3 linked regions of the Diceros bicornis minor genome follow. The protein of the gene in region 3 interacts with the protein of the main gene of each other region in a biochemical or structural test. Links are inferred from orthologs where the notes say so. Each region holds a gene or a part of one and is shown on either strand. Other genes may lie near its edges.

Evidence for each region. The genes of interacting proteins can lie anywhere in the genome.
Region 1: of the proteins of PRKAA1 (region 3) and RACK1, one has a biochemical effect on the other in vitro, tested with the Homo sapiens proteins (2 studies listed by BioGRID). The link is inferred for Diceros bicornis minor from reciprocal best matches to the Homo sapiens genes PRKAA1 and RACK1.
Region 2: the proteins of PRKAA1 (region 3) and CFTR form a complex in vitro, tested with the Homo sapiens proteins (2 studies listed by BioGRID, with this or other methods). The link is inferred for Diceros bicornis minor from reciprocal best matches to the Homo sapiens genes PRKAA1 and CFTR.

The regions. Positions count from the first base shown.
Region 1 is NC_080740.1:94,223,834-94,230,948, forward strand, and holds the start of RACK1 (small ribosomal subunit protein RACK1), read right to left. Parts: upstream 3,074-7,115; 5' UTR 2,791-3,073; coding exon 2,682-2,790; intron 2,380-2,681; exon of another isoform or gene 2,312-2,379; intron 1,629-2,311; coding exon 1,457-1,628; intron 1,166-1,456; exon of another isoform or gene 1,087-1,165; intron 925-1,086; coding exon 777-924; intron 538-776; coding exon 442-537; intron 35-441; coding exon 1-34. UniProt on the Homo sapiens protein: Scaffolding protein involved in the recruitment, assembly and/or regulation of a variety of signaling molecules. Interacts with a wide variety of proteins and plays a role in many cellular processes.
Region 2 is NC_080742.1:68,339,099-68,346,855, reverse strand, and holds the start of CFTR (cystic fibrosis transmembrane conductance regulator), read right to left. Parts: upstream 3,074-7,757; 5' UTR 3,033-3,073; coding exon 2,980-3,032; intron 1-2,979. UniProt on the Homo sapiens protein: Epithelial ion channel that plays an important role in the regulation of epithelial ion and water transport and fluid homeostasis. Mediates the transport of chloride ions across the cell membrane.
Region 3 is NC_080759.1:29,093,185-29,101,169, forward strand, and holds the start of PRKAA1 (5'-AMP-activated protein kinase catalytic subunit alpha-1), read left to right. Parts: upstream 1-4,886; 5' UTR 4,887-4,937; coding exon 4,938-5,064; intron 5,065-6,266; exon of another isoform or gene 6,267-6,388; coding exon of another isoform or gene 6,389-6,398; intron 6,399-7,985. UniProt on the Homo sapiens protein: Catalytic subunit of AMP-activated protein kinase (AMPK), an energy sensor protein kinase that plays a key role in regulating cellular energy metabolism.

The DNA.
Region 1 (7,115 bases), on a different chromosome or scaffold from region 3:
TGGTCTTCAGCTTGCAGTTTGCCAAATTCCACACCTAAGTTTGGGGAGTGGGGGGGTCATAGGTAAAGAACCTGGCTCTGAATCAGCCAGGGTCAGGAGGGCTCAAGCCAAACAAAAAAAGGCACAGGCATCTTGTTTAAAAGCATTCCTGAATAGGGTAGCCGTTTTTCTTTCCATCACTAACAAAAAAGGTTAAAGAATTTGTCTAGGCCACAGGAAAGCAATTAGGATTAAAACAGGTAACAAATGCTATGTGTGCTGCCTTTCAATTAGCTACTTCAGACCAAATATCAAAAACTGATGGGCTGTACTGAGAAAATAGCAAAAGGAAAAATGTCAATCGCGGCACAAAGCTTTCAAAGTTGGAGGCTATGACCACCTGGGAAGAAGCAGGTACATATGCTGGCTGGTAAAGTCCCTACACCCCTGCTCCAAGCTCACCTTGACTAGCTTGTCCCAGCCACAGGAGACAATGATGGGATTGCTGCTGTTGGGTGAGAAGCGGACGCAAGACACCCACTCCGAGTGGCTCTCATCCTACAGAGAATGGAAAGGAAATAAGGCAAAACTGTCTTGTCCCATAAAACTCTAGACCCCCACCCCTCCCCTCAGTTACATGGGATACATGTTGATAGCCTTGCATTCACATCCCAAGAACCCAAACCTTTAAGATCAACAGACCCCTTTTAGATTCCAGATGAGGCTTGAATCACCAGATACAGCCAAGGTTAAGAAGGATGGGAGAAAACCTTCAACAACATGTGCCTTCACTTTACCTGGACAGTGTATTTGCATACACCCAGAGTATTCCATAGCTTGATGGTTTTATCACGGGAGCCAGAGACAATCTGCCGGTTGTCAGAGGAGAAGGCCACACTCAGCACATCCTTGGTATGTCCCACAAATCGGCGTGTGGTGGTGCCCCTGAGAGGGAAGACTTGGTCACTCTCTCGACTTTGCAAACATTCTTCCACAGTCAGACTATTTCCCTGGGGACCTTGTTCCTGTCCTAGTGGAGCTGCATTACTCACACAACCCTGGTCATGGCTCTGATCACAGCAGGTGGTTGGCTGAGATATGTCAGAGAATCCCTTCAGAATTGCAGGACATGTCCTCATTCCCACGTGGGGATTGGCTGACAATGTCGTCTGTCATCACTGGGATCCTCTATTATGCCTGACCATCCCAAGACTGAGCTCCCAAAATAAAACATGTTCAAACTGTCGCCTACTCCCAACTGCAATATCTGACAAAACTGCTCACCAGACCACTCCTCAACAATTCTGCATCACTCATTAAGAGCAACGAGAAGGAAAACCAAACAACGCCAACCATCTCTAGGTGCTCTTTGCCTTACAGTGCCCTCAACGGACCTAATCGCCCCTGGGAAACCACTTCCCAACAGTATCTACCTCTTTTCTGCCCAGGCCCCAGAGCTAAGTGAGCAGCTACTTGCGTTGTGAGATCCCAGAGGCGAAGGGTTCCATCCCAGGAGCCTGAGAGGGCAAACTGGCCATCTGAAGAGATGACCACATCACTAACAAAGTGGGAGTGACCCCGAAGAGCACGCTGTGGGATGCCGTAGTTGGTCTCATCCCGGGTCAGCTTCCACATGATGATGGTCTTGTCTAAGAAAAGGTAAAACAAAAAAGGAAATCCAGTTACAAACCTCGACACTCACTTGCTGACCTACAGGACAACCCAAGATGCCTCAAGGTCACTGAGACTTACAAAACGACAAATTAAGGACACTTAAGTGGGGAGGGTAACTGCAGGCTATAAAAGTGGTTACTTGTCAAATCCAAGTGACTCACTATTCAAGAATAAACAGCCAAATAGACCTAAGCAGTACCACGAGAATTTAACTGAAGTGAGCAGAACTTTATTAAAGACCATGGATTCCCCTTTCCGATATTCAGACCACTTCAACATCTACTTCGAGACTTACCTGAGGTCTAATGCACAAACAGAGCAGCCTGGCTGTGGGAAGACGAACTATGGGCGACTACTGCTAAGGGCTACCAGAGTGCTGAAATTAGGAAAACTTGCTTTATACGCTACAGGATCGGATGCTTTCACTGACATGTGTAGCACTCAGGGAGCTTTTAAGTACAAGACATGATCCTAGCCTCAGACAAGCGTCAACAGTGTGGGCACAAACGGAAGGCACAAGAAGCCTCCAAACGCAGTCACGCACACGGAGAAGGAAAAAAAACAGGGCAGAAAGGGCAGGCGCGGGGCAGCCGGGAAACTGAAGTCATGAGGTCCCCTTGGAGTCCACCCACTTCCCACCCAGCAGAGGTCCGGGCGGCAGCTCAGAAACAGCCTCTGGGTCTCAGCATGGGCTCTCAGATGGCATGTTGGGTTCATCACTGCCCCGCCCGATCGGTAGGTTTCTGGGCACACACTTAGCCACACCTGCACGGAGGCGGGCAAGAAATAAGAGAAAAACACCCAACCCCGCAACTCCCTGGCAGCTAAGAGCTGATCTATGTCTCGGTAGCTGCTAAGCGGGGATGCCTTAGGGATTTATCTTGGCTGAGGCCTAGGCAAAGATCTGCATGGCCCAACTCACACCCGGACGGAGTTTTCCGGGCAGCCAACTCGCGCGCCACTGGCCTAGCCCGCAGTGCATGCAACCCCCTTCTCCCCCAATCCTCTGCCCCACACCTCAGCCATACCTCGCGAGGCCGACAGTATCATGTCTGGGAACTGGGGAGTGGTAGCGATCTGGGTCACCCAGCCGTTGTGGCCCTTGAGGGTGCCACGAAGGGTCATCTGTTCAGTCATGGCGGTGGCGGGTGCGAGTGTCGCCGCAGCGACGAGGATGGAACCGGATAGCTCAGAGACACGACCACTACAGCCACTCGCGCTGCCGCCCCGCCGAGGAAAAGAGAGAACAACCTACGCCGGAACCGGATATACCCGCCTTCTCGAACAAAATGGCGACCGCTGTGCGTCACTCCTGCTCAAGATGGCGGTGCCATGTAGCCCATAGGACTGGGTGAAATAACAGGACCTCATGGTCCCCTCCGCCACGCAACATAACTTGGCAGCGCCGTACAAATACGTTCTGAAATCAACACGACCGAGTCCTTAAAAAGGATCCTCAGGTGTCGACTGAGGCGTGACGTCTGAGCCGAAGAATAGGGGAGGCGCGCGGCGCGTTCCCAGAAGGCTCGCCCGGCCGCCTGACGGCTCCTACGTGGCGCAGCGCGAGCCCCGCCTCTCCGCTCGGCGGCTGGGGGCGCCACGGAGAGGGAGCCTAAAGCCGAGGTCGCAACTCTGAGTGATGGTGGGCGATGTGAGAAAAACGGTACTAAACTTTTTAAATAAACGGTGCTCGGGTGAACTATTAAACCCTAACAGATTTCCATGCGCAGAAGGCTGCTCTTCCCTCAAGAGGTTTGTGCCCTGATGGTATTGGCCGAGGCACTCCGGGTCCGGAGGGACTTAATGCAAAGCCAGACTAAGGCGAGAGTGAGGTATGGAGCGGAAAGCCGGCGGCGAACGAAAGAAAAGTCGGTCTGTGGGCCGCGGGACGGCCACCCCGCCCCGCCTAGGCTGCGCGGAGAGCCCCCGCAGGAACGGAACGGCCCGGGAGGACGCACCTCCGGGTTCGACCCCTGGGGCCTAATCACCCTCCAGGGTGGCCCGCGGCCCGGGGGGCCAAGCGTGCCCTGAAGGAGGCGCGCGCACAGGGAGGCAGTGGAACGTGGGTCCCTGGCTGCCTGCCGGCCTCACGTTCCGCCGCACGGCGCGTGAATCTGTGGAGCCTCCCGCTCCCGCACATCCCCTGACTAGGAGAGACTGCTGGGAGCGCCCCTCTCAGATATTTTTTCAAGGCGGGGCAGCACAGATCTGGATGATAGCCGCCGCTATCGTCTGTGCAAAATAAAGGGCGGATTGTACATAGTATTTTGTTTTCTCTTTGGAGGATGTATTAGCCTTAGTTTCTCACCTGTGAAATGAGATTGGAAATACTGGTACCTACCTCACGTGGTGTTGTGGAGAGTAACTGAGTTAAGAGAAAGTTAAGGTAAAGCACCCAGAACAACGCCTGGCAGAATAAATGCACGCAGCTTACTTAGTGAGCACCTCTTGGGTTCCAGGCCCTGTTTTAGGTCTTGAGGATACAACTGTGAACAAGACAGATGAGACCTTTTTTTTTTTGGAGTTTACATTCGGTGGGGTGGGGGAGGGCAAGGTGACGGGGCGATCGGAGCAAAGACTCGAAGAAGGTGTGAGGGGGTGGGAGGCAGTTGACAAAGGGCCTCGTAGGCTTGGGGAAGGACCTCGGCTCCTCAGGGCGCTGTCCTGGCTGTGCTCCTCCATAGCCTGATGACTCCTCCATCGCTTGCCTCTTTGGCACCCCCAACTCGCTGTCCTTTAGCTTTTCCAACACTGAACTCGACCCGACCCACATGTTTTGCTTCTCCTGTGGTCGTGGGGACCCCTCCCTTCACTCACCGCAATATCAAGCTCGCTGTCCACGATTCTGGTCGTGCCTGCGCCTTCCTTGGCGCTCGGCACAAATGGAGACGTGAGCGACTCCACGCGTGCCTGTACACGCAGAGGATTTCCTCGGCCCTTAAGAGCACTCGCTCCTTCACCTCCTACCTCCTCTCCCCAAAGACATCATCATTCAGTCACATTATTACAGTTTTCCCGCCTCGAAAATCCGGCTCTCTGTTTCTTGAACATTGCCCAGGGAGCTCCTGTGGAATCAGCATCCGTGAGGTACAGCCTCCAGGTCCCTCACGAATGCTCCAGGATGGGACCTTTGCACCGCTGACCCCTTTCCAGAAGCCGGCAGGTCCCATGCGAGCCCCGCCCCCTGGTTCCCCCTGCCCACCTCTTCCCGGCCCCTCCCGGAGTTCTCCCCGCCCCGCCTCCCGAGACCCAGGCCGCGGAAGGTGCCCTTCGCTTCGCGCGGGTCAGTGGGTCCCTTCCCACGACCGTCCGTGACTCTATAAGACGATTCTGGCAGTGCCCTCCCCATCCCCCCGCCTCTTTAGAGCCGAAAGGGGAATTCGGCTGTTGCGCTGGAGCCCACGAGGACCGCGATGGCGATGCCAGCAGAGGAGAGGGAGAAATGGAATGTGGTGGACTTCCCCGACGACCAGACCCGACCAGACCCTGCCGGCTTCAGGCTTTCCACCTCGGAGTTTTCTTCCAACCACCCCCGGCCTCTCCTGTCTTGGTGGGGATGCTGGTGAGCCACAATGCCACTGAAGGACAGTCCTGAGCCGAGGGAGGTGCCGCCCCGACCCTGAGGACCACATCGGCTGCAGCGAGGGGCGGGGACGGGCGTGCATCAGCCGCCTTTCCCTCTCAGCCCCAGCTGGACTTTAGCCCTATCCACACCTGCTTCCCTCAGGGGCCCCGCGGCTCCCTCCAGGCATACAGGCCCCCACCTGGCCAGGGTCAGGGTCCCACCTGGACGCCTCACTCCTTCCGGGGAGGGCTCTCGGTCAGCAAAGGGAGCCCGACCCCTTCTAGCGGGGTGACATCTCTAAGCTGTGGGATGCGTCTGAGAATCAGCCGCGCGCCTCCCACAACAAAGTCTACTACCTGTGCTGGCTGGGTTGAGCCTTTGGGCTTCTTCTCACCTAGGGCGTCTCTTCTCCAACCTCACAGAGGTGGAAGCCTGCTGGTGGCCCCCACCCAGCCTTTGGGGAAGACTCTTCGCAGAGCTTCTCCCAGCTCCTTCCTCCCCTCCATGCCCTGTGGGCAGAACCTGTCCTAGCTGGGCTCTCCACTCCGGCCCCGCCCACCACTCCTGGCCCAGAGTTCACCTGCATCTTACCCACTTTTCCTCTGAGCCCCTGAGCTGCCCCTCTCTCCCCTCACCCCACGCGCCCCATTTCCATTCCATACAAGGTAAGAATCCCAAGGAAGAAATTGGAGAGGCTTTTCTAAGGAAGTCCGTCTCACCATTCCTCTTGTGGAGGGAGCCCACAAGGACCTGCACAGCTGGAAAGAGCCTTTTGGGTTTCCCTGCCAGAGCCTTATGACCTCTTCTCCAGGAGCAGAAGCCTCCATCTCCTATTACCAGCATTTAGGAGGTGAGACAGGTCTTCCCTTGAATGCTGAGGTGAGGGCTGTTGTAGGTGGTGGTGGAGGGGCTGGGGAAAAGGTGTGTGGCCAGGACCAGAGAGCCTGCTGACTGCCAGCTCAGGGCTGGGTGACTTCCCTTTGTTTTACTGCCCTGATGCAGATTCAGTGTGGTTAGCTCTGGCATGCTCCATACTGTGTTTTGTGGCTACACAGGCCCTCCCCTGCTCCTCCAATTCATCAGTTCTCTCCCACACAGCACTACACACTGTTTTTCTGCCTGGAAGGCCCACCATATCCCACCCTCCTTTTCTTAGTTAAATCTAAGCTTCCTTCTGGTGTCAGCACAGGTTGCCAAGTCAGGGAAGCCCTCTGTGACCCTCAGGTGTAGGTCAGGCTCCTTTGTTTCAAGCTCTCCTAGCAGTGGTGCAGCGTGTGCTGGGCCTTCACAGCATTTAGCTCAATTGGTCATCATTTGAATCCCTCAGGGCTCTCCTCTGAGTGCCCTAAGGATGGGGACTAATCAGTTTCTGCTCACAGGTTGCATTCCCAGCACCTGGTAGATGGTTTGGCTTGTGGAAGATTCTAATCTTGGTGGCCAGCCTCACAGGCTGAGTAGTTAAGGGCAAGTAGTTAAAGGGAGGGCGTTCCAGGCAGAGAGATCAGCATGGGAAGAGGTATACAAGTGGTTTGTGTGCCCAGGTTTGGGAGGGATGGTTTCAAGAAGGAAGGTAAGAGTGAAACCCAAGGTGGGCAGGGAGCCCTAGTCTCAAGGAATTGACTGCTAAGGAATCTGGATTTTGTCCTGAAGCCTAGGGCCTCCCTTTAGGATTATCTCAGCCTTCTCCTGCCTATACTTGATTTTGCTGAAAGACATTTATTGTCAGTGTGGAAGCTAGGTTGCAGGAGTAAGACTAGAAGCAGGAAGAGTTCAGAAGCTGGGCAGGAGGGTTCCTAGGAGGGTCATGAAAGTCCTATGAAGGGAGGGACTAAGGATATACCAATGGCCTTATGAGTGAGGTGTTGAGCATCTCTTCCAACCCATCTCTCTGCTCCCT
Region 2 (7,757 bases), on a different chromosome or scaffold from region 3:
ACTAAATAGAATATGGAAAATTCAGGGCATGAGAGAAAAGAGAGAAAACAAACTGAATAACTATCTTAAAAGTTATCAGAAAATGTAAACTTTGGGGGGCTGGCCTGGGTGCATAGTGGTTAAGTTTGCACACTCCACTTTGGCAGCTCGGGGTTCACAGGTTCGGATCCCGGGCATGGACTTACATCGCTCATCAAGCCGTGCTGTGGCAGTGTCCCACATACAAATTAGAGGAAGATGGGCACAGATGTTAGCTCAGGGACAATCTTCCTCACGAAAAAAAAAAAAGAAAAGAAAATGTAAACTTGGAAAATTGCTCAAAAATGAAAAACATCATCTCTGTTGGTAAACATTTATAAATCACTGTCACTGTATATGAATCATAAATTCTATGCAAATATATCACCTCTAGTTCAAAAACATCTTCCTATTTCATAAAAGCTTTAAGTTAATCTACTTGTTTTCTATGATATTCATAAACTATTTTAAATTTTGTGTTAAAATTCTTTTTTAGATTATGTTTATTAAAATACATATATAAGCATTACGACACTTCAGATTTTGTACTTGATGTGAAACTCATGCAAAATTAAGAAAGTACTTAAATTTTTCCCAAATTTTATTAACTTTTCCAATAACAAAACCTAAATAATGAAAGAGATATTTAATATAATCCATAACCCAGACCATAATAGCTTTATTTTTTTATGACTCTGAGACTGAAGGGATCATATTCAGAATGTTAAATTCTAAGGCATTTAACAACACATGATATAAGCATACGACTTTTTTCCTATACATCTAGTAAGGCCATGTTAGATGAGATTTTACCTAAACTAAATTCTCAACCAGGCCCATTCATTGCATATACAGACTGAAAGTCACGAATTATATTCAACAAAGATGAACTGATTATCTTATATAAACAAGGTATGTGGTATTGTAAAGAATGTAAAAGTATGGTAATTAATAATAATAATAATAATAACAGCCAACATTTACTGGGCCAAACACTTTACATGCATTATTCTCAACAGATTAACCCCTATGACATAGGTCCTATTAGTCTCCAAGTTTTAAAGGTCAAGTCACACAAACACAGAAATGTTAAGGGACTTGCCTCAGGTCACACAGCTACTAAGTAGCAGATCTGGGATTTGAATCAAAAGAATCCAAATCCAAAATCTAACACCCTTGATCCCTAAGCAGTACTGTCTAATTCAACCCAGAAAATAAATTTCTTATCCTTTCAGAATTGCAACCCAGAAGGAAGTTTATAATCACTGATACTTTAGGTCATTGTCAGTTCCTATAAATAGTAGGAACTTAACTTTTTTAAATATACCTATTCTTAGAGCAACTTGTTATGAAATAGTTTGGAGAAGAGGAATGAGTATGCTCTTAACAAATCTAGTAGCCACTATAATACATTTTTTTTTTTTTTTTTACAAATCAACCTGAGAGCATTTTTTAAACTATACTAAAATTTATAAGGGGATCTGTTTAAAAAAAAACTTTAATAGATCAACAATGATCTAATTTAAATCAACAATGAGCTCATTGAAAGTTCCTTAGTACTTAGTACTTAGAAGTAGCCATGGGATATTCATTCTTCTGAAAACTGCATTTTTACACTGACTGGCATTTAGGTTCCTCAAAGTGCTCTACTAAAAAGTCTACAATTTATGCCAGTTAGCATTCTGATTTGGTAAGTAGTAGGAAAATAGATCAACAGATAATCCAATTTTTATAGATGGAGTAACAAAAGGTGCTAAAAACATCAACACAAAAGATTAATTCCAAAGAGTAAAGTCCTTCTCTCTCATCCACAGGGAGGAGCTCTCCTTCAACGGTCAATGGCCTCTCCTTAGCACCTAAGTCCCAGGCTTATTGCTCATGCAGGGAATAAAACATAGAAAGATGTGAAAGCCGAGTACCTTCTCAACACACACATATGGGCATATTTATAATATATTTGGCTTTTCTGATACCTTAAGTATGCTGATTCATTGGATAATTATGAGTCAAGCAATATCCCATGGGAGAGCTGTACCTATTCATTCATTCATACAAGTTTAACAGGAACAAAGCAGATATAGTATCCAAAGAAGACTTCAAATATGAAATGCTACATCTAATTACACTTTGCCTAAGACTCTGAACTTAGACTCTATTTTTAAAAATCTCATTAGATGAAGTTTGCAAGCTTTTATGGCTTATCGCATGCAAAATAGGATGAGTACAATTTATTAAATGTCAATTGGATATAACTTGAGTCTATTCCCATGGCTTCACATTTCCATGATAATTCTGACCCCTCTTTTAAAATTTATAGCTCGTAAATTGGCTTTTTTTTTAAGATAGATATTTCAAAACATTTGCTTTCATTCTTAAAAGGAAGAATAATGGAATTGCGGCAAATGCTTGTTCGATTTACTGAGTATCATAACAATAAAAACTTTACTTAAGCACATATTACTCGCTTCACCCCTCTCCCCTTAAAAAGTTCAAAATTCAGTCAACAAATGTTTCCTGAGCACCTACTACAGGCAGGCATGGCATTGTTGTCTGTGTGCCAAGAAGACATCTGAGTTTCCAAGGCAGGAAGGGGGAAAACAAGTAACCAAACTTAAGTATTTGCTATTAACAAGTTTATAATTCATAAATTTCTTAGAAAAATCTAAAACAACAATGCACAGTAGCACACTTGGGTCTTGAGAGCCTGACTTTCAGTTGCAAGTAGTTAAGACTTCAATATTAAGCTAAGGCTCTCTACCCAAACAATGGGCTTCAGTTTATTCTTTTATCTCTTCTTAATGTTTTCTATTTTATTCCACAAAATCCACGTTCTCTTCCACAACAACGAATGATAGCGCATCTTTTTAAAAACTATTCCTCTTTCCCCAGAATCCAGCCTATACACGCCCTCCTCTTTCACGGGCACGTGTCCTTCCGAAGCTCGGCTGGACACCCTCTCACCTGAAAAAAAGTTTGGAGATGACGCTGGCCTTTTCCAGAGGCGACCTCTGCATGGTCTCTGGGGGCGCCGGGATCCCTCCGGGGCAGGCTGGGCTTGCGCTCCTAATGCCAAACGCCCTACTCTCCTCGGTGCCTGCTGCTCGCCCCTTTTTCTTTGACCTGCTGTGATGTCATTTGCTTCCAACTCCCCAACCCACCCTACCCCACACACCTCCCGTTTCCTCTTGCTCCTTCCCCCGCCCCCACTGCCCAGGTTAAAAGCCGGCGCTGCCTGGTCCGGCCCTAAACTTGCTCTAGCGGCTTTCTCCACCCCCTCCGCACCCCCACCGCTCCTTCCTTCTCGCCTCCTTCCCTCCCTCGCCGCCCCGCGCCTCCCTTTCCCGATTCTGACTCCCAGCCTTCCTCCCGCGCGCGCGCTCCTTGCAGGTCCGCGTCCCTACCGTCCAGCCCCAGCCCAGCCCGCAGGTGGGGGACAGTCGCGGCCGCTCTCCAGGTCCAGTCTCCGACGCTCGAGGACCGACAGAGCCAGCGGCAGGAGCAGAACCAGCCCCCCGGGGAAGCTCCTGGACCCTCCCACACGCCAGGTTCTGCCGAACCGGGTAGTCACCGCTGCCAACTTCTCCGAGCCTTCTTCCTCCTCCCCTTTTCCGAGATCCTAGCCGGGTTCGTGTTACCTTTGCAAGGTGCATTTTGAAAGGGGAACGAAAATATGTCTTTCCTGTATCAAAATGCAGCCATAGAGAGCCGGAAAGTTCCGCGGCAGTGTCAGATGTGTTCACCTTAGCGCTTCCTTTGAGTGTCAGAGAGAAGAACCAAGCTTTGTTCTTTTCAGGCTTAGGCGAGCTCCAACTGTAGCAGAGATCTCTTAGGAGATGTACTTATGGGGGCGGGGGGTGGAATCCTATAAGAAGGTAAGAGGAGTTATCGCTTTGTCCATTACCCGCCCAGGATGTGTTCATTGTCTGTCCTAAGTTTTTCAGTCCGGCTTGCGTTTTTAAGGAAGGCTTTTGTGTGTGTTAGAGACTACGATGACAAGTGGACAGCGTGTAACCTAACCCGCCCTCCTGTAGATTTCCTAGACTCAGTCAGCAAAACATCTTGACTAATACACAGAAAGGAATCCAAGCAGTCTTTGCAGCGAAGGTAGCGCGTTACCTCTGACTTGACTTAGAGAAACGCCATCTTCATCTAAGCTTTCCCAGGTGTGGGCACCTTACCTTCCCCGAGTTTTTGGTGTGTAGATTTTGTGCCTGTCTGATGGTTTTTAAAGAGCCAAGTGTTTAATCCCTAATCCTGTTGTGTAAAAGCAAGGGCACGTTGAGTTTAAACTGAAAAATTCAAATGAAAGTAAAAATTTTGGTGTGATTACTTTATTGCCTCTACATCTAAGGCCAGGGTGTTTACTTGTGAATTACCTTACTGTTGACTTGTGGTCACCCAAATACAGTACAAACAAAATTATGCATTTCATAATAATAGACAGGAACATGTATTTAAATTAATGAACGCGTTCAGCAAGTTTTTATAGCTCCACTTTGCATTTCAAGGTCATACTTTTTCTGTCTTAAAGTGGGTTTTATAAACATTTAAATTTTATTATCCTAAATTTTAGTAGTAGAGAAAATAAGAACAAAGAGAGAAACCAAATTGCATGAAGTTTGATGCCAGGAAAGAACTTCAGCATTTCTAAGTTGATTTATTGCTTCAAATCTTGTACCCATGTTTTCCTCTCTCTGGTAAGACATACACATTGAGGCTCCATCTTCATTATTGACTTTTCCCAGGTATGTGACTGAACTTACTCCATCCACTTCCCCACCCCCACTCTGTTGTTTGCTTTACAACTGCTACTATGACCCATCAACTGTAATACACACATTTTGAAATGAATTGGTAATCACTTTCTCTTTGTTATCAAAGAGCAAGTGACAATAAAGGGATTAAGAATTAAGTTCCAAAGATCACAGAAGCTGACCAAGTGATATGGCTCAAAGAGACCCCAAATATTTGTCAATCAGTTTCCTTCTGGAAAGAATAAATAAAATAGTAACTATTTCTTCAGTTCTTACTATTTGCCAGGCATTATCTCGTGTAAACTTTACAACAACCATGTAAATAGATGTCATTCTCCCCAATTCTCAGTTGAGGAAACAGACAAGAGAAGTTAAGTCAATACCTGTAATGGTAAAGCCAAGATTCGAACTCAGGTCTAATTTCAAACCATCAATCCTATCATTGTGTAATATTGCTTCTAATCAAATCATCCCTCATATATTTATATACAATCACTTACACACCAACCCAGTCTTTCTCCTCACATTAGTTTCATGAAATCATAATTGCTAGACCTTTCCAAGACTGAGACAAGAAAGCAGAAATCGACAAACCAAGTAGCTGCTGGAGTTATATAATTTTAATAAATGACACTTAATTATAATATTCCATTTTAAGTGTGTGCACAAGCATGTGCATAGGAAGACCTTAGATTTTTATCATAAAAGATGACATCCCAAATTTGTTCTTGGTATAAGTAAGACTTCACTACTATTCATAATGTTAACATTGTTTAGCAGACGTGAACAAATGAATTAACTGAGACATAATGTTCAAGATTTGCATCTAGGTACATACCTAATGTGGGAATATAGACTTATGCACCGGGAAAGTATTCAAATATAGCTGAAGGTCATCGCTGGAATCCTAAATGTATCTTTGAGATGTCAGGAATAGGAAAGAGATCAACAAGCTGGCATGAGAGTGGAAGGTGGTAATAAGAAACAGTGAAGCTCTTCTCTCCAAGCTGCTCAAATATCAGCTCATAAAATTTGATTATAATCTTGCTTACATTTGTTGAGCACTTACCATATATGCCAGGTGCCATGCCAAATGCACAGCATGTGTTGCCTTTTTAAATTCTTATAAACATCTTCATGGGACAGGTAACTTCTCTATTATCCATATATTACAGGTAAAGAAACTGAGGTACAGAAAGTTTGGTAATTTTCCCAAGCAAGTTGCAGAGTTAATAATAACAAAGAAAACTGCGACTTGAACCTAAACAGCCTGTTGCCTGAGCCCAATCGTTTAACCACTAAACATGCTTCCCCAACAGAATTTCCTAATGTTTTAAGCATAATTGATCTTGAATATAGAAGATTAGGTGGCCATCTGTGACATCATTTTTTTTATTGTGGTAGAATACACATAACATAAAATTCACCATCTTAACCATTTTTAAGTGTACAGTTTAGTGTTATTAAATACATTCACATTGTTGCACAACCATCATCACCATCCATCCCCATAACTCTTTTCATCTTGTAAAACTGAAACTCTAACCCATTATACACTAACTCCCAATTCTCCCCTCCCCACAGCCCCTGGCAACCACCATTATACTTCTGTCTTTATGATTTTGACTACTCTAAGTACCTCATATACGTGGAATCATACAGTATTTGTCTTTTTTGTGACTGGCTTATTTCACTTGGCATAATGTCCTCAAGATTTTTCCATGTATCATATTGCAGAATTTATTTCCTTTTTAACACTGAATAATATTCTATTGTGTATACATATATATATATGTATATGTATACACACCACATTTTGTTTATCTATTCATCCATCAGTGAACACTTGGGTTTTAGCTATTGTAAGTAATACTGCTATGAACATGGGTGTACCAATTGTGTGGCACCATTTTAAAGGTATATTAAAAAGAAGCAAGAAGAGGAGGAGGAGGAGGAAGAGCAGAGAAGGAAGCCAACATTTATTTAGTACCTGCTATGTGTTCAGCAATGTGCTATGTGCTTCCTACAAATGATCTCAATAGATGAACACCTATAAGAGACAACCTTCCTGTCATACGGTACTCACTCTGCCAGGTGATGGCTGAGGTTTCACCATTAGATATTACCAGAGCAAAATTTCACTATACTTTACTTCTTCATCATCTTCAATTTAATTTAAGTGTGTTCCTCAGATTCTTTCCTGAGAACGGGCTTTAACCATGCTAAGTAGTGGCCAACTAAAACTTGGAAAAGTAGAAGGAGAAAGGAAAAAAGTCATCCCTGTAAGGAAGAAAAGCTCACCAAAAAAGAGAAGGGCAAGGCCTTGTTAGCTTCATGTGCATAAACTGGTTCTGCTTATAAATTTACCTAAACTAGGAGGGTAAGAGCAGCCGAAGCTCTTCACAGTGTGCCGCCGTGATGACCAAGGATGTAAATATACATTACAGTCTGACAAAGATGTTTCAGACCCAGAGAGAGGTGTCCTGGCATATGATTAGGTCAGACTTTCATTACTTTTACTGCTTCCAACATTATGTTTGGTCTGACAATTCTGTTTATAAACACACACGCAGACATACCTCTATTTATATACATACATAACCCTTCTTCCCCACAACATCCTTGAAGACAGGAATTGTGTCTTCTGTTTTCCTTTTACTCATCTCTTATTTAGTAATACAGTATATACAATCAAACAACGATTTTCTCGTGGGGTTACTGACCTAATAGTTGAAATATCTTCCTAAAGGGGAAATCTGAAGATGCTCAAGAGATGAATTGTTACCACTAATATTTCAGCAAGCAAGAACTCAGTGCTAAGGCAGGTATACAGAATAAGGCAGGATCTCTACCCTTCAAAACTCAGAATCTACCACTGGTCACCAAAGTTCTCTGAAGATGGTAGCAGAGTATAGTGGAAAGAGCTTGGGCTTTGAGGCAATAAAGAGCTAGGTTTACAATCCTGGCACCACTGCTTACTTAGCT
Region 3 (7,985 bases):
AGGGTCTGGTAACCACAGAATCTTTGTTCCCTGGGACACGGCTCCAGCATCCTCTTTCTCTCCCTTTCCACTGAAATAAATGTTGAACCAAGAATATTGTTTTGAAGGGGACCATATTACTAGCCTGAATGGAGAACCAAATTATTAGCCTATTCAAGGCATGCACATGTTTATCAGCCCCTTGTATTATCAAATTGAGTAAAAATAAGTCTAACAGCAACCAGAAACAGGACAGTCCAATTACTTCTCCCTCTCTGATAGTCTCAAGTGATCCAAGGGTACAATTAGACTATCAGCCTATCCTTCAAGCAGCCATCCAAGGATATTATTTCCCTTAACTGCTAAGAATAGGGCAGCAAGGAGTTTGGAGCTACATTTTTTGGTGAATGAATATACTTTGTGCTGCTGATCATGGATAGATCCACGTGCCTGATACTCAAGTCATTTGAGAGGGGGGCAGGGTTGACATTTTCTTGTTAACAGTAAGGAACCTAACCAGGACCAACCAACCACAGCTACCAAGAGATGGGTCAAGGGAGTCTTTGTGAACAGTGCTAAGATTTTGTCTAGGAAACAGTTCTGGGCCTAATTCTACAAGAGTAATTGAAGCTTAAAATTCATAATCATGAGGGGGTTGCAAACATTTTAACATAAAAAGATTTCAAACCCAGAGTTAGGAATCATCTACCCTAGTTAAACAGTGGACAATTATCCACAAATTAATTTTAATCACTGTAACTTCCTTGGGAGTTTCGAATATAAACTGACTGCTTTTCTTTCTGTCTCTTCCAAAGGCTTATATTAGCTTCTGGATCTTCTTAATTATCCATTCTCTCTAAGTAAGTGTTCTGTCCTTGGATCCCTTAACTCTACAAACTGGGGAGATCTCATTCATACTCACTGCCCTACTTCATCTGCCATTTGTTTGGTAATGATACCCAATCTGTATGTCTAGACTGTCATTTCTTTGGAGTAATAGCCCTGTATTACCAGTATATTCATGGATCTCTATACCTGAATGTCTCTTAGATGCCTTAATGTTACAAATAGGATTCATTCGTTCTTTCTTTTTTTTTTTTTTTTTGCTGAGGAAGATTCACCCCAAGATAACATCTATTGCCAATCTTCCTCTTTTTGCTTGAGGAAGAGTCGCCCTGAGCTAACATCTGTGCCAATCTTCCTCCGTTTTGTATGTGAATCGCCACCATAGCACGGCCACTAACAAGTGGTGCAGGTCCATGCCTGGGATCTGAACCAGAGAACCGGGGCTGCTGAAGTAGAGCATGCTGAACTTAACCACTAGGTCACGGGGCCAGCCCCTCTAACAGTTAACTTTTTCAACTCAGTAATACATGTATAAGGTTCAAAACCAAGAAGTTACAAAAGGATACACAGGGAAAAAAGTCTGCCCCTTGCACCTGACTCTTAGTCAGCCAGTTTCCCTTCCCAAAGGTACCCATAGCTATCAATTTCTTTGGTAAAGAATGCATTTCTAAAATGCATCTACTTCACATCCTCCCGTGGCTCATCACTCTCTCTAAGATAATGTCCCTGAGAAGCACATATGAGGCCTTCCAGGATTTAGTCCTGTTTCTCTCTCGTTTCTTCTAACAAGTCCCTCTGTACATTCAGATTTCATCCCCTGTAACCACTTGCTCTTCCCTGAAAAGCCTATAGCTGTGATTCTGCATATGCTCCTTCCTCACCCAGGATGCTTTCCCCAAATTCCTCTATCCCTCATGCCACCCTTTTCTTTGAGTAGAAAACACCATCTCTTAACACTCCCTTAAATATATTCAAGTTCAAGCCTTTGCGGACCCCCACAGATAAAGGTTATGCCCTCCTCTCATGATGCCCTTTGAGGACCATATATATGTTTTTATTACAGCACCTATCACATTACTTTGCCACTCGAAGGAAGATACTGTGTTCTGTTGTTTTCTGAGTCCTCAGAGTCCAGCAAACTGCCTAATACCTACTTAGTTGTTTAATAAATATTGAATATTAGTTACAATGTAACTACAACTAAGCTAAGGATATATTAGGCTGCATTAATAGCACCATAGTACTTAGAGTTTTTAGTTCTGGCCACCATATTTAGAGATAGATATTGAGGAAGTATACTATCCACCTGACAGCATAGGGTCTACTAACACTATGACGGCCTTAACAAGAAAAGAGTAAGAGGCCCACAGCTCCCTTAGAATCTCTGAAGAGCTACAGAGGAAGCAGCTCACAACTAACTCCCGAGCTCCTCCAGGAGACCAGAGGTTCTCCACCACGATATTGGGTCATCCTGGTATGTCTTCATCAGCGCTGAGATATAATGTAACGTATTTGTACTAATAAAAGCCGAAGTACTGAAGTTTTAAAACAATTTACTTTTAGCCCCCCTCTTAAACTAGAGTGGATTCAAGGTTACTTCTGTGAAGTCACTCGTCCCCACTTAAATTCCAATATACTTTGCTGAGATAGGGGTAGAGTTACAAATGATGGGTCTGGAAACTGGGTGTAAGCCACAGGTTACCTTACCTTCACTTCTACCCTGGAACAATGTTGAGCATCTGAATATTATCTATCCTGGGGGATAGGATGGGGAACGGGCATACAGAGAACTGCTATCCTAGCCTATGAGCTCCTCCAGGGTAGGGCCCATGAGTTCTCATTTTGTATCTATCCACAGTGTCTGGCAGTTAATAAATGCTTGAAGAAAGAAAGGAGTGAAGGTTTGGGGATGGATCAATGGGAGAATGAAGGGAAGAGAGAGTGGAAGAAAATGTGACAAAAACTTTTAATAAGAGATGAAGGAAAGAAAAAGCAAAGGAATAAAGGAGGCTTACTATTTACTTTCTTAGACACTGTTAATTGAATTCAATTTTTAACTCAACTTAAGGAAAAAAATAAATAAAAGCTGCTTAAACAGAGACTATGGAAGACTGGATAAGATGACCTCTAAGTTCCCACTCAATTCTTTGGTCTATGATTCTAGGTTTTATTTCCACAACAATGCTTTTGAGTGAATAGTGGCATTTAATGAATATTTATTAAATCAAATTATCATCTAAAATAACACCAACACAGAAACAAACTGATGCTTCTGCTAAAAAAAGTTTATATTACTTTCTTAATTGGGTCTTCATAGTTTCACGAAGAGATTGGCAACGGGTTTGCAAAATTCAGCTTCAGTTTGCCCCCCTGTAAGATGCTCTGTGGCTTAACTGGCAGGGTATAGAGCTGAGGTACCTTGTGATTTTTTTCTTTTAGGTTAAAAGAAATAACAGAACCTTTCTAGGCTAAATTCTAGACATGATGCAAATTTAAAGTAATTTACGGTGCTATTTCTGAGGGGAAAAATTAGTTTTTTTTTCCCCTAAGAGAATCCAGAGAGCTATTTCTGAGCTGCAGAGACTCACAAGGCAAACAAGTAAAGGTCAAGAAACCAGGGAGCAAAAATTACAACATCAACCACTGCCCGCCTCCCAAACATCTCGGTAATCACAGATTTCTTAACTTTTTGGCCCTTCAAAATATGTGCAGTCCATAATGCGGCAGGAACTGATTATTCATCCAAGGCTAGCTGTGACTCTTCTCTGCTTATTTGATGTAAGTCTAAGCTCAAAGGCTTTTGCTTTCCCTGCAGTACCTCACTTGGAAAAAAGCAGTGCTTAATGCATGTTATTTTGATTTCATAAATAGAAAGTATGTAAAAATCAGGAGAGTTGGGGAGCTTTCATTGGGAAGAAAAAAGATAACATTTTTATTCTTTTTTTTAAATATTATTTTCATGAAGAGTCCAACTCTTTGTTCATTGACTCTGGCCCAAATGCTATGACACTGCAAAACTGAGATCATATAAACTGGTTTTTTTGGCCACTTGATTTTGCCCACGTTAGAGGAACATAACTGACTGACAAACTCACTTAAAAATTCTATTACAAATAAGCATACTTTCTCCGCTTCCACTGTGATATGACATGATCCCATTTCTACAGATAATAGCTAAATCTTACTCACTGCAAGTACAATAAATATTTGCCGATTGATTTCGTTGATGCAACTGTAAGCCTCGTTTTCAGTTCCAAGTCTACATTTTACCGATAATCTAAAAGTATTAATTCCTATACATCAAAATGTCTGGGCAACATCCCACTTTCTGAACACATACATTCACACACATCCCCAACCTGCTCCTTCCAACAGAGCTTGCTTTGGCTTGCTTCGGGGAGGAAACTTCAGGAGAGCATCTAGCAAGAGGACAGACCGACGACGCTACTTGAGCTGCGGAGGTGCCCAGTACAACTTCCTGGCTCAAAGTAAAAAAAGAGTGGCGGCGGCGGCGGCGGCGGCGGGTGAGGGGGAGGGGGCACTCCATCAAAGATCCAAGTGACAACTCTCGATGACTTCCAGATTCCATCCGAACGGGACGAATGAAAAGGTTAGAAAACAGTGGCAGGGCGTTGTCCCCTGCCATGTTTCAATTCCCGCTGCACTAGTAACAAGCCACACATCTGCCCTACCCGAGTGGGCTTCTCCAGTGCTCACTCGCCCCTCGGAATCACGGGGAGAGCGGTCTCCTCGACCCAGGAGTCAGAATCAAGGGAGACCCCTGCGGGCAGAGACTCCGCTAACAGGGAAGGAGCCCAGGGGCTGCCGCCCTTCGCCACCCAGGAAGACCCCTCCCGCGCGCAGGTGGGCGGGCGCCCGGGGCCGAAGGGATGCCCGGCGAGGAAGGGGGTGCCCGCGCCCCTCGCAGCGACCCCTCCCCGGCCCGCCAGGGGGAGCGTCTGCGCCCGGCGGCCCGCGGCCGGGCCCCGGCGGGCGGCGCAGGGCGGCGGCTCGGCGCCGCGGCTCCCGTCCCGCGTCCCCACCCCCCCCCTCCCCGGCCGCCCGCCCCCGGCGCGGCCCTGCCCGCCCCCTCCGCCCCCTCCCGCGGCGCCATGCGCAGACTCAGTTCCTGGAGAAAGATGGCGACAGCCGAGAAGCAGAAACACGACGGGCGGGTGAAGATCGGCCACTACATCCTGGGGGACACGCTGGGGGTCGGCACGTTCGGCAAAGTGAAGGGTGAGGACCCCCGGCGCGAGGCTGGGCCCCAGCCCGGGATCCGGGCGGCTTGCGCCCCTCGCACCTCTTCGTCCTCCCCGCCCGCTGCGTTCCTCGTCTCCCGGGCTCGGCGGTCCCTGTCCGGGCTCCGGCGGGAGCGGAGCCCCGGGCCGCCGCGGGACTGCGGCGCGGCCCTCCGGGGCTGGGAGGGGGTGGGGTGGGGCGGGTTGCCATGGCGACGGCGCCGCGGCCCGAGGGGCTCGTCGGTGCGAGGGGCGGGGACGCGGAGGTGCGAACTTTCCCAGGCGGGGCAGTCGGGGGCTGCGCGGCGCGCCCCGAGTGCGGGGTCGGGGCGCCGGGGAGGCGGCCCCGCGTTCGCCCGGCTCTGCTCCCTCGGCGCGGGGCCAGCCCGTCGCTTCCCTGGCCGTCCTCGGCATTGTCCGTGTTTCCGTCCTCTTGAGAGGCTGTCGGCTTCCCTGCCCCGGCTGATTCTCAAGTGTGAAATAATGTGTTCCCCCCAAACTAGACTGCTTTGGGAGTAGCTTACAGATTTTCTTTTTTTTTTTAAGGGCCATCTTGTCAGAAAGGATCACTAATTTTTTTCGAAGCAGGTCATGAATTTATACCGGTCCTCTATTTGCGATGCATCGTTTATGTTCTGAAAGCAGACTCCGTGCCTTCGGTGTTTCTGAATGATCTGTTTTGCGGTCTCTCTGTGCCAAACCTGGTAGTTAGTGCAGATGTTGCCTCCAGATAGTATTTAATAGTTCATTAATGCAGTCGTTTCCATTTATTTTCACAGGATATTTACATTTTAATAAACAATTTAGTGCACATCATGTGAACCTTTTTTCTTTTCAAAGAAAGGTGCAGAATCTCTTACCCTTGTGTTTCAACACAGTATTCTGGAAATAACAAACTTGCTCTCCAGTCCGCCAATTCTGGCACAGAAAGCTTAATTGCAAACTTTGTGAGGCATAAGTATTTTTTTCTTTAAAATATTTGACTTTGTTGTTAGGGATGTAGAGGAAGGAAGTATGGAACTGATCAAAATAATTCACGCCTTGGCTTTGGATAAGTAATAGACTATGACTTGCATACGCTAAGCTCTTGGTAAATATTTGACTTGAAAGAAAAAAAAGTTTGTGAAAGTCTGTACAGTGAATTAACTAACTGAGCCTTGCTCTCCCAGAGCTAAATAAACATTTTCTGATTTTATCTAGGGATGGAAGAGGAGAACCCTTCCTTCTCTTGCCCTTTCTGAGTCATAGAACTGGAAAATTGCTGTATAGTCCACAGGGAAGCAACTGCCTAAACCTTCTTATGAAAATCAGCAAGGCCAACAATGCAAGAAAGTAAGAAGCAAATGCCAGAATAGGGTACTAACAGCTATTAGGGTGGGTCTGTATCAGGCCAGTAAGATGTTTCTGTGCCATTGAAGTTATTTATTTTTGGCTATGCTGTCTCTTGTTAGTGGTTACAAACTGCTTTTCATTTACAAGTATTGTAAGAAATGCTCATTAATACCCCCCCAAATAGTGATGACAATCTTGATGCCCTCACCCTGCCCAGAGTTCTGTTTGGATGAGGGTGCTCATCTTTCTCCTAACATAGACTTGAGCAGAGTCAGGTCTCATTTTCTTATTTGTGAGGTGGTTTTCGGCATGGCATATAAGAAAGCAAGAGGAAATTTTTCGTTTTCTGGATTTGATCTGTGGTGTGGCTGTGACATGAATCCCTTTAGTGACTGCTGTTCCTTAACCTTCACTCCTCCACATGTGACTCGCTTGAAGTATCACTCACTGTCAAAGTCAACAACCTCTCCAAATATAGAAAGGCCAATATTAGTCAAAGGATCATAGGTTTCATAGATATGATTGCATTTGTTTATAAATATCTTAGTTGATGTAGGTCAAAATCCTCAGCTAGTGCATTTTTTTAAGTTGTTAAACGATTGGGATGCTTTTTGCCCCAAGTAATAGAAAGTCCAACTCAACCTATCAAGAACATCTCTTTCTGTGGTTCTCTCTCCAGAGCAAGGAATCCCCAGCGTACCTCTCATGGGTCTCATTGGCTCATCCAGTCCCTCTGGCCAGGGGATGCCAGTTGGCTTACGCTTGTTCCTAAGTAGGCACTCGCAAGGGAGATAGCATTAGCCTTGGAGGAATGTGGCCCACTCTTGGATGTGTGTGTGTGGGGTGCATCTTCTTCTTTTTTTTTTTTTTTTGTGAGGAAGATCAGCTCTGAGCTAACATCCAATGCCAATCCTCCTCTTTTTGCTGAGGAAGACTGGCCCTGGGCTGACATCTATGCCCATCTTTCTCCACTTTACGTGGGATGCTGCCTCAGCATGGCTTGACAAGCGGTGCATCAGTGCGAGTCTGGGATCCGAACCCGGGCCTCCAGCAACGGAGCGAGCGCACTTAACCACTACACCACGGGGCCTGCCCCCATTTTCTTCTGAAGTACTTGGATAGTGTAGGGAGACAGGGTCGATACCTACACAGAAATGAGTATTAATTGTTAGGCTAGAGAAAGGGGGACATACAGTCCCCCAAATGCTTGATGAGCAGGCAAAAATAGCTACTATAGTGGTGATGGTAACTTACACTAGCCTTAATTTGACAAGACTCCTTTGAATAATACGGTTAGCTGTATGTGTCAGTGGAGACAATTCGGAGTAGATAGAACTTTTAAAATTAGTTATACATGTTGGTAAATTTAACATAGAAAAGGAATATAATAGAAGATGTGATATTGGTAGGCAGAAAAATTCCCAATATAGTGCTCTGTGCTTAGAAGAAATTTAATTTTGGGGAGGAGGGAACTGTAAATTCATAGTGATTATTTTGTTTCCTGTTACAGGCTAAAAAATCCATTGGTAACTTAATTGTAATATTTTGAGGGGAAAGTTTACACAGGCAAGTAGGATTAGTTTAGGA